2 linked regions of the Arabidopsis thaliana genome follow. The protein of the gene in region 2 interacts with the protein of the main gene of each other region in a biochemical or structural test. Each region holds a gene or a part of one and is shown on either strand. Other genes may lie near its edges.

Evidence for each region. The genes of interacting proteins can lie anywhere in the genome.
Region 1: the proteins of LP1 (region 2) and CAM1 form a complex in vitro, tested with the Arabidopsis thaliana proteins (one study listed by BioGRID).

The regions. Positions count from the first base shown.
Region 1 is NC_003076.8:15,002,249-15,007,957, reverse strand, and holds CAM1 (calmodulin 1), read left to right. Parts: upstream 1-1,752; 5' UTR 1,753-1,840; coding exon 1,841-1,916; exon of another isoform or gene 1,917-2,028; coding exon of another isoform or gene 2,029-2,073; intron 2,074-2,533; coding exon 2,534-2,611; intron 2,612-2,815; coding exon 2,816-3,189; 3' UTR 3,190-3,431; downstream 3,432-5,709. UniProt on the Arabidopsis thaliana protein: Calmodulin mediates the control of a large number of enzymes, ion channels and other proteins by Ca(2+). Among the enzymes to be stimulated by the calmodulin-Ca(2+) complex are a number of protein kinases and phosphatases.
Region 2 is NC_003071.7:16,126,876-16,133,750, reverse strand, and holds LP1 (lipid transfer protein 1), read right to left. Parts: upstream 3,462-6,875; 5' UTR 3,334-3,461; coding exon 2,987-3,333; intron 2,868-2,986; coding exon 2,858-2,867; 3' UTR 2,511-2,857; downstream 1-2,510. Other genes in the region: AT2G38550 (Transmembrane proteins 14C), read right to left, coding at 31-80, 441-608, 694-1,084, 1,331-1,573; LTP2 (lipid transfer protein 2), read right to left, coding at 4,803-4,812, 4,924-5,270. UniProt on the Arabidopsis thaliana protein: Plant non-specific lipid-transfer proteins transfer phospholipids as well as galactolipids across membranes. May play a role in wax or cutin deposition in the cell walls of expanding epidermal cells and certain secretory tissues.

The DNA.
Region 1 (5,709 bases), on a different chromosome or scaffold from region 2:
TCGACCATTAGTTCAACATATAGAGATGATATCAATGAATCGTCTATCGATTCTCCTTTTTGTTTTCGCCTTTGGTCTTACCATGATGAGTAACACAGCCTTATCGTACAAACATTCCGTGTGGATCAGAAACTTTCTTCATGAAAAAAACGATCTCATAATCCATTGCAAATCCACGAACCATGATATGGTATACCATAGGTTGCATCCAACAGGATCGTACCATCTGCTAGTTGATGATGATTCCGACTATTTTTGGTGTCATTTATGGCAAGGACCTAATTTCAAGCATCACCAAGTTTTTGGTGTTAACCATGGAGACGTATGGGAAGCTAGGGAAGACGGAATCTACTTCTCGCAGATAAAATATGCTCGAGATCTCCGTCAGCATGTGTTCATGTATGGGTGGAATGTTCCTTTGACCTTGTCAAGAGCTTCCTCGTTGGGATTGTGTTGTGTCTCTTTAAGCTTATTACTCTCTTCCTTGGTTTTGTTTTATTTTTATCTAGTTTTAGTTTTGAAATTTATTTTTTTTATTATGAATTTTAAAAATTTAATTTTTATTTGTGTTGGAATTTTTTTATTTTCTTTGTAACCTATATGAACTTGGATATTTTTTTTCTTTCTTACATTAATTAAGTACGTAAGTTTCGACAATCAAGAATAGGGTTTTGTTGATTCCAATCGTGTTACCCAAAAATTAGAATAAGGTTTGTCCAACAATTTATTAAATTTGGTCTTAGAGTTGTATACGAGCCTACGAGGTATCTTTTAGATATGCCGAAGAGATGGTAGTGCGAAGAAGAAAAGAAACCTCATTTTCCATGGTATTAAGGATTTCAAGCTATTCAAACTTTTGTAGTGACCCAAATACGTGTAGAACTGGCCCAAAGACAAATAGCTTAATTAAGATTATCACCTAATCTTAGGTATTGGTGATAGGTGATTCGCTCAAGCCTTATGATCAATATTAGCTCCATATTATGGAGAGTGAGCAGCACATACTCGTAGATAGAAAAGTATTGTTGCTCGAGTAATATTTTTCTGATGATAATTGTGTTTCGACCACTGTTGGCATCTTTCACACATGAATACATGATGTACATGTACGACATGCAATCTTTCTCTTAACGCTCGACTGCTGTCTGCTGTGATGGATCATCACAAGTAAACTTTGTGAAGCATATTTCGTGAGCCAAATGATGTTAGAAAACAATCGTGTGAGCCAAAGGCGTGAGAGCGCTTGTAGAAAGTGGTTTATGTTGTAGTTAAAATAATCCGAATATTCATCTTCCGGAAAAAAGTGAAGTTCAACCTCTCAACGGTACGTTTTTATACCTCAACTAAGTTACATTGTGTATATCAACATCAGCTAACTTTTTATTAATATTTCGGTTCACAATATCATTATCTTTTTCAAAATTTATTAAGATTTCTTTTGCTCATTTTATTTATGTGAATTTTAAAAATAAAATAATTTTTATAATATAGAAACAAAATATTACTAAAAGTAATTTTTAAAAAATAAATAAAATTAATGTCATATCAACGAAAAATTCATAGTTTATTAAAGTAGTAAATATAAAAGTAATAATATTTTAATTATTTTGGTATTAAATTATACACTTTTATTAATATATGTATTTTCTTCTAAAAATTAAAAATTAATTGGGTTTTTGTTTGGAATTTTTCCGACTTACCTTTTCTCCTTCTTTTTGTCGTTTTGCTTAGATATTTGTTTGCATCATTTTCAAAGAGAGACGACTCTGAATCCAAAAAAAAAAAAAACTCATTAAGTAAAGACAAAGGAAGAGAAGAAAGACGATTTCTCGAAGAAGCTATGGCGGATCAACTCACTGACGAACAGATCTCCGAATTCAAGGAAGCTTTTAGCCTCTTCGACAAAGATGGCGATGGTTAGATTACCTCTTCTTTTACGCCTTTGATGGTTACATTACTGGATCTCGGTTTTTTTTCCATTTTCGTCTTCTATCGATGATTTAGAACGGTGTATCTCGTCCTCCCGAGCTTTGAATATGTGTTTATTAGTCGCTAATCTCTTTAGATTCGGAGGTATTGACCTTGTCGTTTGATCTGTTTTTGATCTTTGACCGAGTAGTTTCGCTTTTTGATCTTCGATGGCTTTTTGTATATGATTGAATCGATTTAATAGCTTGCTTGTTGTCCTGTTTCGTTGATTTGCTAGCTTGGATCTGATTTATTTTTTCGTCTCTTACGTTTTGTTTGATTTTTCATCTTCCATGATTGTTTTGGTCGTATGTGTTTTCGAGTTTGCTCTTAGTTGATAAAGAATCTGCTATCTTTTTTTCTTCGAAGTTGTTAATTATCTGAGTTTTTTTTTGTGTTCTCAACAATTCTACCAAAGAATGGGAAAAAACTATGTGCTTAAATGTGATTTCGAATCTTTTAGAAGCTTTGATGGTTCTTCTTGATCTCTCTAGGTAGGTTTCAAGGTCATGTTGCTCAGATTTTCTCTTGATTTCTGAGTTGTTTGTTATACTAGTTGATGTAGTGTTTGTTCTCTCTGATCTAGGATTTGATTTCAAAAGATTATCAAATTGTTTGGAAACTACTCCTGAATTGTCTCATGGTTATATCCTGCTTATAGTAGCTCAATTTGTGTAGATTTGTTTGTTCACTCTTTAAGAGATAAGCAAAAGATGTTCATTCGCTTTTGCATCTATCATTGCTTTTACCCATGACAAAACTGCTTTATCATTGCTTCCATTGAGCATTTGAGTATAATATGTGATGGGTTCTAAAATGTAATGCTCTCTTAATTGTGGTTACACAGGTTGCATCACAACAAAAGAGCTGGGAACAGTTATGCGTTCACTAGGACAAAACCCAACAGAGGCTGAGCTCCAAGACATGATCAACGAGGTTGATGCAGATGGAAACGGCACTATCGACTTCCCCGAGTTCCTGAACCTGATGGCTAAGAAGATGAAAGACACTGACTCCGAGGAAGAGCTAAAAGAAGCCTTCAGGGTTTTCGACAAAGACCAGAACGGTTTCATCTCCGCTGCTGAGCTACGCCATGTGATGACCAATCTTGGTGAGAAGCTAACTGATGAAGAAGTGGAAGAGATGATCCGTGAGGCTGATGTTGATGGAGATGGTCAGATTAACTATGAAGAGTTTGTCAAGATTATGATGGCTAAGTGATTTGATAAAGGTGATGATGATGATGATGATGACCTTTTTATGCTTCTAGGAGTTTAACCAAAAACATTTGCATGATTGGTGGAGATATGCTTTTAAACAGACATAATTTGTTTTTCGTTCTTTTGATTTTCTGGTTTGTGACTTTTGTGTGTAATGGAAAATCAAGTAAGTTGGATTGAAACCGATGGGTTGGGTTTTTACTTTTTACCCACATTTTGTTGCTTTTTTGGTTTTACAAAAAAAGAAGAAGATAAGAAATAGAGATGAAAAATATGGCTTTAAGCTGAAAAAATTAAGTACTAGTTAAAATTATAGTTATATTAAAATGTTCTCTTTCTGATTTACTGTTTTAATCATTTGAGCCACTCGTCTGAACTGTACGTCTCTATACGTGTGTACGTTAGCCACAAAGAAAATGATTCGCGGGCAATCACTTCCAAATTTGTGTCTAATCAAACTTTTAATTTTCATACGACAAACAGAGGTCGCTGAAAATTTAGTTTTAAGTATAAAGTGCTTTTCTTTTGTCAATTAGTTTTAGTATAAAGTGCTTTAGTGTATTATTTATTTGGATACCAAGTTGAAAATTGATGTTGGACTAATAGGAAAATGACACATGTAAAAACACGAGGTTGGTATTATGCCATTGGCCACCATAAATTGTCGTGAAGTAGTAAATTTCAAGACAAGTTTTAAATTAAGATTTTGAACAATACATTCATATTTTTAGTAACTTGTTATTTATACTTAGACTATATAATTAAGTATTCGATCTATTTAAATTTATATTAAGACATTATTTCCCAAAAAGTGTGAGAAATCATATATATGACAGGAGCTCAACTCTCTCCCACAATATTACACATCAGCACATGAAAGGAGAGGTTGCCACCTACACTTCTTAAAATAAGTAATACATAATTAGTAATTAATTCAACATATGAACCTATCATAAGTCAGAACTTCAACCATCACTCTTTCTATATTTTTTAATTTAATATATCTTCTTTTATTTTTTTAGGCATTTGGGTAGAGAATATGATGAGTACATTTTTGGGAATTTTTACGGTATATTACCATAATGTTTTCATAATATTTTTCTCAACATGTATTAGAAAAATTCGAATGTTGTGGTAACAGAATTGGCCGTATTGTTAGAATGTGGGAAGTTCATACCGGAAATACGTTCTGCCAACGACCGTGATGTATTCCTTGAAAACTCACTCTTCCTGCTAGATGAGAAGGTATAATTGTCCAATGACTAACATATCAATTTATTTTTCTAACATAAATCTCATATCACACTCATCATATATCTATCTTCTCATCTTTCTAAACAGAATTCCTTAATTCGTTGCTTCATTCCTTCATCACTTGTTGAAAAATACAATAGTATTTTCCAAGAAGGAATGATCTTACAAAAATAAATACAATAGTATTCTTTCATCATTCCTTCACTATGTTGCACTGGTAATACAATAGCCTTCGTGGCGTCACAGTAATTTATACTTGCATTATCCACACACATTACAACTCATATTTAAACTATAAAAAAATTAAGTTAATGTGGGAACAACTATGCACTATACTATTGTCAAAAAAATTACGCCATTTGATATAAGTTCTTAAAAACAAACAATTATCTTACGTCATAACTAAAAAGTTACCTGTTAGTATTGTAATATCAGAAGTAATTATAAAAAAAGACCAAAAAAAAACTCAAACACATTGTATCCACAATTAAAAGAAAATGTATTGTTTTGTTAGTATGGAGTGTAACACAAATTATATATAAAATATATATTCGATCAGTATGTCATGTTTATTTAGGAACAAAATTTACCTCATTTAGAATTAATAACTGTATTACTTTATTCAAGTTATTAGCGGAAGAATGGACGCTCCAGAGCCTTAGAACACCTTCAATGGGGGTTTCTAAAAATGTTTTTTAATAAATAATAAAAAATATATATGATTTAAATATTACATGAGTCTCTTAAATTTGATGAAATATAGGCCAATTGTCTCTTAGTTAAGAGATAATTTGTCTTACTTTCACCAAATTTAAGAAACCCATAATTAAAAATATTATTTATTTATACTTACACTTTATTTTTTTTAAGAGACTTAGGATTAAAAACTACCATTGAAGATGCTTTTAAAGTATGAATGTTTAGAAACTTACAACCCATCATGTGGTATTAAAAATGAGTAAATAAATCCACAATAAATCAAATACGCACGATTATAACTTAACTAACTCATTTATAATCTAGACGTTTAAAAAACCCTACAAAAATTCCCAATCAGAATAACGTATATACCCATTTCTAAACAATAATATCCATTTAAGAAAAATAAATACTCTTTCAAACTTCTAATCATTCCAACTAGAATATTACATAATGTAAATATTTATCTTTATATATATATGACACATATTCACTACCAAAATAGTTTAATCTTTGTAACCACCGTAAGAGTATCTAGAAAAGTAAGTCTCTCTTCTCAATAACTTTT
Region 2 (6,875 bases):
TGAAATATAACATTGAGCAATGAAAGTTACCTGAGACAGTAGCAACCGCAACTCTCTCAAAAATATGATTGCCACTATAGCTGTTGAACATAAGAACACGGTAACAGATAAGCGTCACTAAACATGCTTTACATCTATACTCAACCGGAGAATGTCGGAAAGCCTCAAAAATCAGATTAGTGAAAAATTAATTTGTTGACTAAACTCAAAATCTAGGATTCAACAAGTATCTATTGGAACAAGACTCATTTCTAGACAAATCAATAATGCAACTTAAACTAATTCATTCATGGTTAGCTAATATGCATATCAGAGGGGTTATCAAAGCCGTTCCTAATCAAAGCACAATTCTGGTTGTTAAAACTAGATTTCAGTAACTGGGGCTAGCTTTTGTGAATGATATGAGAAAGGGTTAATACAGATTGAAAAACTTTACTAACCCATCTGTCCTTTTAAGAACTTTGTAGATGACTCTCCTTTCCTATGAGACTTTAGACTTGCCAGGCTCAGTGCAAAAAGGGCTCCACCAAGAATGACTCCAAACCTGATGGCCGGAATGCTTCCCGATACCATGAAGTTAATAAAACCACCCACAAGCAAGAGTAGACCTGTAAAGTATACAAACATTGTTATCCCGTTACTCACGAACAATGAAAGCTTACAAAAGATGAACAAGATATACAACATGTTTACCATAAGGTATTCCAACATGAAAATCATTCGCTCGGGACACATTTTTCAGATCCTCAGTGGAGGCAAATGCTTCAACAATCTCTTTCACATCTGATGGAGATTCTTCTGCTGCTTTCAAAATATATTCTCTACCCTCTTCACTAACCACTTTCGCTTTAGTACCCAACTCTTCTTTCGCCTTTTCCGCTTGAATCCTAAGTTGTTCAGAAGTTTCTTTCAAGACCGTCATCGCCTTTTGGGAGTTAACGGAGTATGCCTCCGATGACACACTCTGCATCTTTGATACCTGCTCTTTAAAAGACTCAAGAGTTTGTTTCCATGCTTCCTTAGATGTATCATCTTCAACATCTATATCACTCTTCTCCTTCCCCACCTCAACACCTGATTCTCCCTATTTGAACAATGGCGATAAAGGGTAATAATCAAAACATGTTCTTTAGCTAATCACAGATCATTTGATAATTTCAAACCCCAAATTGCACCTCACTTGAAATTGGCAGATTATATTGCTTAATCAAATAAATTTCACCAAAGTCCAATTTTTTTCTAGCCTCAAGCAATTTACAAGATAAAGCATCTGAATTTCGAGATACCCAACAGAGAAATTAGAAGTTTTGAGCACAACCACACTACTCACCGAATCCTCGTGGGATGCAGCGAAAGCAACGACGGATCGATTAAGCAAGACTTCCGGCGAGGTAAAGCCGAAACGTATTCCTGGATACGAAACAACAGCTCGAGGAGCACTGAAATGGCGTCGGCTAGGGAGGAGAGAACGAGGTGGAGCACAGAGCTTCACAGGCGGACGAGAGTGAGCTCTATAGAGCAAGGTGGAATTAGGGTTTCTGATAGACATTAACTCCATTGGGATACTCATCATCGCCTGATCAAAACGTCGCCTTGGTGAGAGAAGTCGTCGGCGAAGAAGAGATTAGAGAATAATAGAGACTTTAAGCTTAGGGATTCCTACAAAAGCTGTGTGTTGTGAGTGCTTCAACTAGGAAGCAAAGAATTTCCGAAGGACTACTACGCAACAACAAAAATATGTTTTTGAAAACGACGCCGTAACATTTGGAAATATATACCTAAGAAAAATATCTCGAAAGTTGAAAAGCGTCTGCGTTAGACCCTCTGAGCGATATAGAGTCTTTCTAAATCCCAAACCGAATTAGACCGGTCGTCTTTATCCGGTTGACTTTAATGAGCTAAAAACCTGACTTTTGTTCTAATAAACCTTGAGTCAACAACTGACTTCAACAATTTTATTGTTTGCAGAAGAAAAGTATCACTTTGAAACAATGAGATGATAATTATAGACATAGTTACGGAATTTATGTATAGTTCAGGCAAAATTTAGATATTTAAAATTAAAAAGAAATCCATTAAGAGGGGACAATAATACCATCTATCTACCAAATACCAATGGATCGCATCCATATCAATTTATTATGGTTGGGAGAAGCAGAAGTGAAGGCATTTAAAGCAGGATCTACCAAAATTCCATGTAAAGGACGGTAATGACGAAAATGCAGATACACCCAATTTTCCATCGCCAATAATTTTCTTTGAACACGTGTACGTATGTCTCTATAACTAAACTTTGGTTTTTCATGAATTTGGGGTTAAAGAGTTTTTAACACTAATTATGGAACCAATCCATCTTTTTCTCGGTTATCTAAACACGTGTTCAATATTACTACAAACTTGGAGATTATATCCTTTTGTGGAAATAGAAACTTGGAGTTACTTTATTTCCTCTTATAAATTGGTTCCATCACGTCCCCAATTATTGACGAATATTTAGCTTTTCACAAATCCGAAAATTAGTGTGGATTTTGGTCCTCAGATTTCCGTTATTACACAAAATGTTGCCATACTCGATATTGATTAATCAGTTTCATATCGATTAAACTAATGCAAGATTTAATAAGTAAGAATATAGAAAAACTTAAACTTCAAGTACTCTGAAATTTCATATAACGTTGTTGCCTGCGAACATAGTACAGACAAACCCATATAACAAGAACACCACAATAGAAAAAGACAAGAAATTAAAAACTCTAAAAACAAACATTCGAACATCTTATTTAATATTAATCTCATCCATTATATAATAAGGATTCGAAACTTCCGGTAGTAGCATCATCTCACCGTTGCTAGCTCATCACCTCACGCTGCAACCACATATATACAAATTAATATAACACCGTTAATATAACCTTTCGAATATTTAACCCCAAAAAGAAACAAATTATAGCTTAAATATCTGAGAGAGTGAGAGAGATTAACATACGTTTTGCAGTTGGTGCTGGTGCTGATTTTGTAAGGAATATTGACTCCACATGCCTTAGGAATTCCAGCTGCACGGCCAGCGTTGAGACCAGAGCCTAAGGCTCTAGCGGCACCTTGAATGCAATTGCAAGCTTGCTGACGGTCTGGGGTCGTCTTGGCTATGCTGTTGAGGTTTTTAACGCCGGAGCAACACGCTGGGGGAATGACACCACCTTGGAGCACGTAGCCAATGCACGCTGCCAAGTTGCTGTTAACTGAGCCACAGCTTAGCGCAGCGTTCGATGTGATTGGACCGGCCACAATCATGCAGGCCAAGAGCAAGCATGCCAACTTCATCACTCCAGCCATATTGATCTCTTAGGTAGTGTTTTATGTTCGTTTGCAATAGGAGATGTGTGTAGTGATGGATGATGAAGAGAGTTTGGGGAGTGAGTGTTATATAGAGTAGGTACGTATATGTTATGTGGTGTGAATGCGATAGATTATAGAGGGAAGGAGTAGTTGGTGGTTGTACTCATTTAATTTAGAGGTTCCTAATTCCTAACTATGTATAGGACCACTCATCTCTTTTGTTTGACATGTTAATTCAACTTTATCGTATGGAAAGTTATAATTCGACCAAAATACATTTTATTAACGTATTTGTAGTGTGACAGTGCCTACGTCCTTCTTTGCATTTTCATTGTTTGTTTTTGTAATTGTTTCAAAATTATAGGTGTGTAGATAGGAACATAGTTAGTTTACTTCTTTTTAAAAAAAATTAAAATCTCGTTTATCTAACATGAAAACTGCTTTACAAAAAGACCTGATGAAAAGTGATTATTTTACCAAAAAAATACATTTTACTAACGTACTCTCATGTTTTTTTCTGAATTTTTATAGTTTTGTTTATTTATGTATTTCGAAGACTTAAGTCTAGTTGAGAAATAGTTATTTTACAAACTATAGATGTGCTATATATTCTAATCGTCTAGTTTATCTTAACAACATATTATTCATATATATATTTGCATGTGTTTATCTTTTACATGACTCTAATAAGAATCATGCTATCCATTGTCAATAATATTTTCGACACGTGTACGTGTATAAGTTAACTTTGTTTTTTTTACAAAAGTCATTTAAATAAAACTGTTGTTAAGAGTTAGTACTAAGAAATCATTCTATCTTTATTTCGGTTATCTATTTTATTTCCTGTTATAAAATTATTTGAACGAATTCGTTTCTCTTCGGTATCATGCAAAGGGTAATTAATTTATTTTAAAAACTGTGTGTTGATGAGAGATTAACAATAAGATTATGATTGTTTGGATATAATGATAAAGATTTAAAACTTAGACATTTTTATTGATCTTAATTATAATAGCAAAAAAAAAGTAAATAACTTACATTTGGAAAGTCATGTTTTCGAATATACTGATCAACTAGTATTAGTAGATATCTGACTTTTATCATTATATAGTCCAAAAACTAGTGTGGACTTTGGTTTTGAGATTCCCGATATCAAACAAAAACAAAATGTTGTTTACTTGATACTTCCCAACTGTAATGCAAGTTAATCATTTTGGTCATATCGATTAAACTAAAGTAAGTGTTAGTATAGATATAGAGTATAGAATAACTTAAACTTCAAGTCTGAAATTCAAAGAACGTTGTTTGCGAACATAGTACAGACGATCACATAATAGAAACGCCACGATAAAAAAAGACAGGAAATTGAAAAGAGTACAGCCATTCGAACATCTTTATTTAATATTATCTCATCGATTATATAATATTCGAAACATCCGCTAGTAGCTTCATTTGACCGTCGCTCATCACCTCACGCTGCATTCACATACAAATTAACATAACAACGTTAATATAAGTTTCCAATATTTAACAAAATAAACTAAAAAATTTATAACATATACTTATAAGAGTGAAAAGATCACATACGTGTTGCAGTTGGTGCTGGCGCTGATTTTGTAAGGAATATTGACTTTGCATGCGCTAGGAAGTCCAGCTGCACGGGCAGTGTTGAGACCGGGACCAACGGCTTTAGCGGCAGATTGAAGGCAACGGCAAGCTTGCTGACGGTCTGGGGTTGTACTGGCCATGTTTTTAAGGTTAGTAACGCCGTTGCAGCACCCTTGGGTAAGTGGAGCACCTCGGGTCAAGTAGGCAATGCACCCTGCCAGGTTGCCGTTGACGGTGCCACAACTCATAAGCGCGTTCGCTGTGATTGGACCGGCCACAATCATGCAAGCCAAGACCATGCATGCCAACTTCATCACTCCAGCCATATTGATCTCTTAGTTAGTGTTTTACGTTGGTTTGCAAGAGGAGATGTGATGGATGATGAAGAGTGTTAGGGGAGTGAGAGTTTATATAGAGTAGGAAAGTACATCTTATGTAATGTGAATGCAATACCTAAATACTACTATGAGGGAAGGAGTAGTTGGTCGCTGTACTCATTTAATGTAGACCCATACGAATTTTAAAATTGGAATGTCACTAAAATATCGTCAATTTAACTAAAAAAGGCTGTTTTAGATAATAACGAGTGTGCAGACAATAATCTTTGGATTCTAAATTTAACGAAGAAGATAAGTCTATCTGTGACGTCTGGAAATCCCAATCCGACGGTGTGAATCTTTAACGAAAGCCTGAAACCCCAACGTGACTTTATGTGGACTACTACTAGCTTGAACAAACATTTGGAGATGTTAAAAAATTTCGAAGTAGAGATTTATCGTTTATGAATATCTTTAATTGTAAGATGAAAACAACGTTGTATAAGTTTTTTTTATCACTAATACTAGTACTTATCATTGTATTAGTTTTTTTTAATAATAAATTTCAGTGGATATACACAATATTATGTCGGTTTGTCCTGCCCTCCACAGGCCACGCCATAGATTGTATGTAGATGGTTCGTCATTATGTGAAAATTTGACTGATACACATAATAAATACTGAATGCATGACACATGGGTAGGATGGGGTCATTGTCGGTTTCGGCCTGAAATGTACAATTATTGGCTTTTGCTTTGCAAAACCATCACTCCATCGTCCCATAACTACTATAGTACTATTTCTAGTCTTATTTTGGTAAAACTAGGTGTTGTGTGTTTTTTATTGGTATGATGAGTCACTAGACTTTTCTTTGGTAAAATTTTACTTTATCTGTAGTTGGAGATCGAGAGTCAATGGTTGAGATGATCGTCGAACAATATAAAAATCATAAAGATTGTAGAAAGATTTAAAATATTAACATATATTAGTTTTAGTAATATTTATATATATTATTTACATTTATTTTTATTTTAGATTAGGAAATCTCATAATATATATATATATATATATATAAGAGAGAATATATCTTATAAAGTTATTTTTATGAGAATCTATTATAATTCTTTATTCTCATCCAACTTATCAAGTTATGTAGTAAAGGTGTTTTATAAGAACTAAAAAGTGTCAAGAAACACAATTAAACATGGAACGATCGACCATATTTTCTTGTAATAACAGACTTTTACAAATACATTTTTTATTTTATTTTCAACTGGTGTTTTTCCGGTCCGGTGATGTGTTTAAATGTCGTCTATTTGGCTAAAGAACACGTCGTCAAAATAAGCTTTTAAAAGTTTCATTCATGTTTAATCATTTTCTGTTTAAGAAGAACAGAAAAATCGTATTTACTGTTTAAAATTTTTGTCGGTGTCTGAAAGGCTACATGATTATATACTTTTCCCTTATTTTCGGTAAAAACTTGATAATTAGGCACCGAAATGCCACATGCAACATATTATATGTACACCGAACACGTGTGAGCATAAAGTACATTGGTATAAATACATTACGATATAGCTACTCATACTTATTAAGGACCTCTCTATACGTGT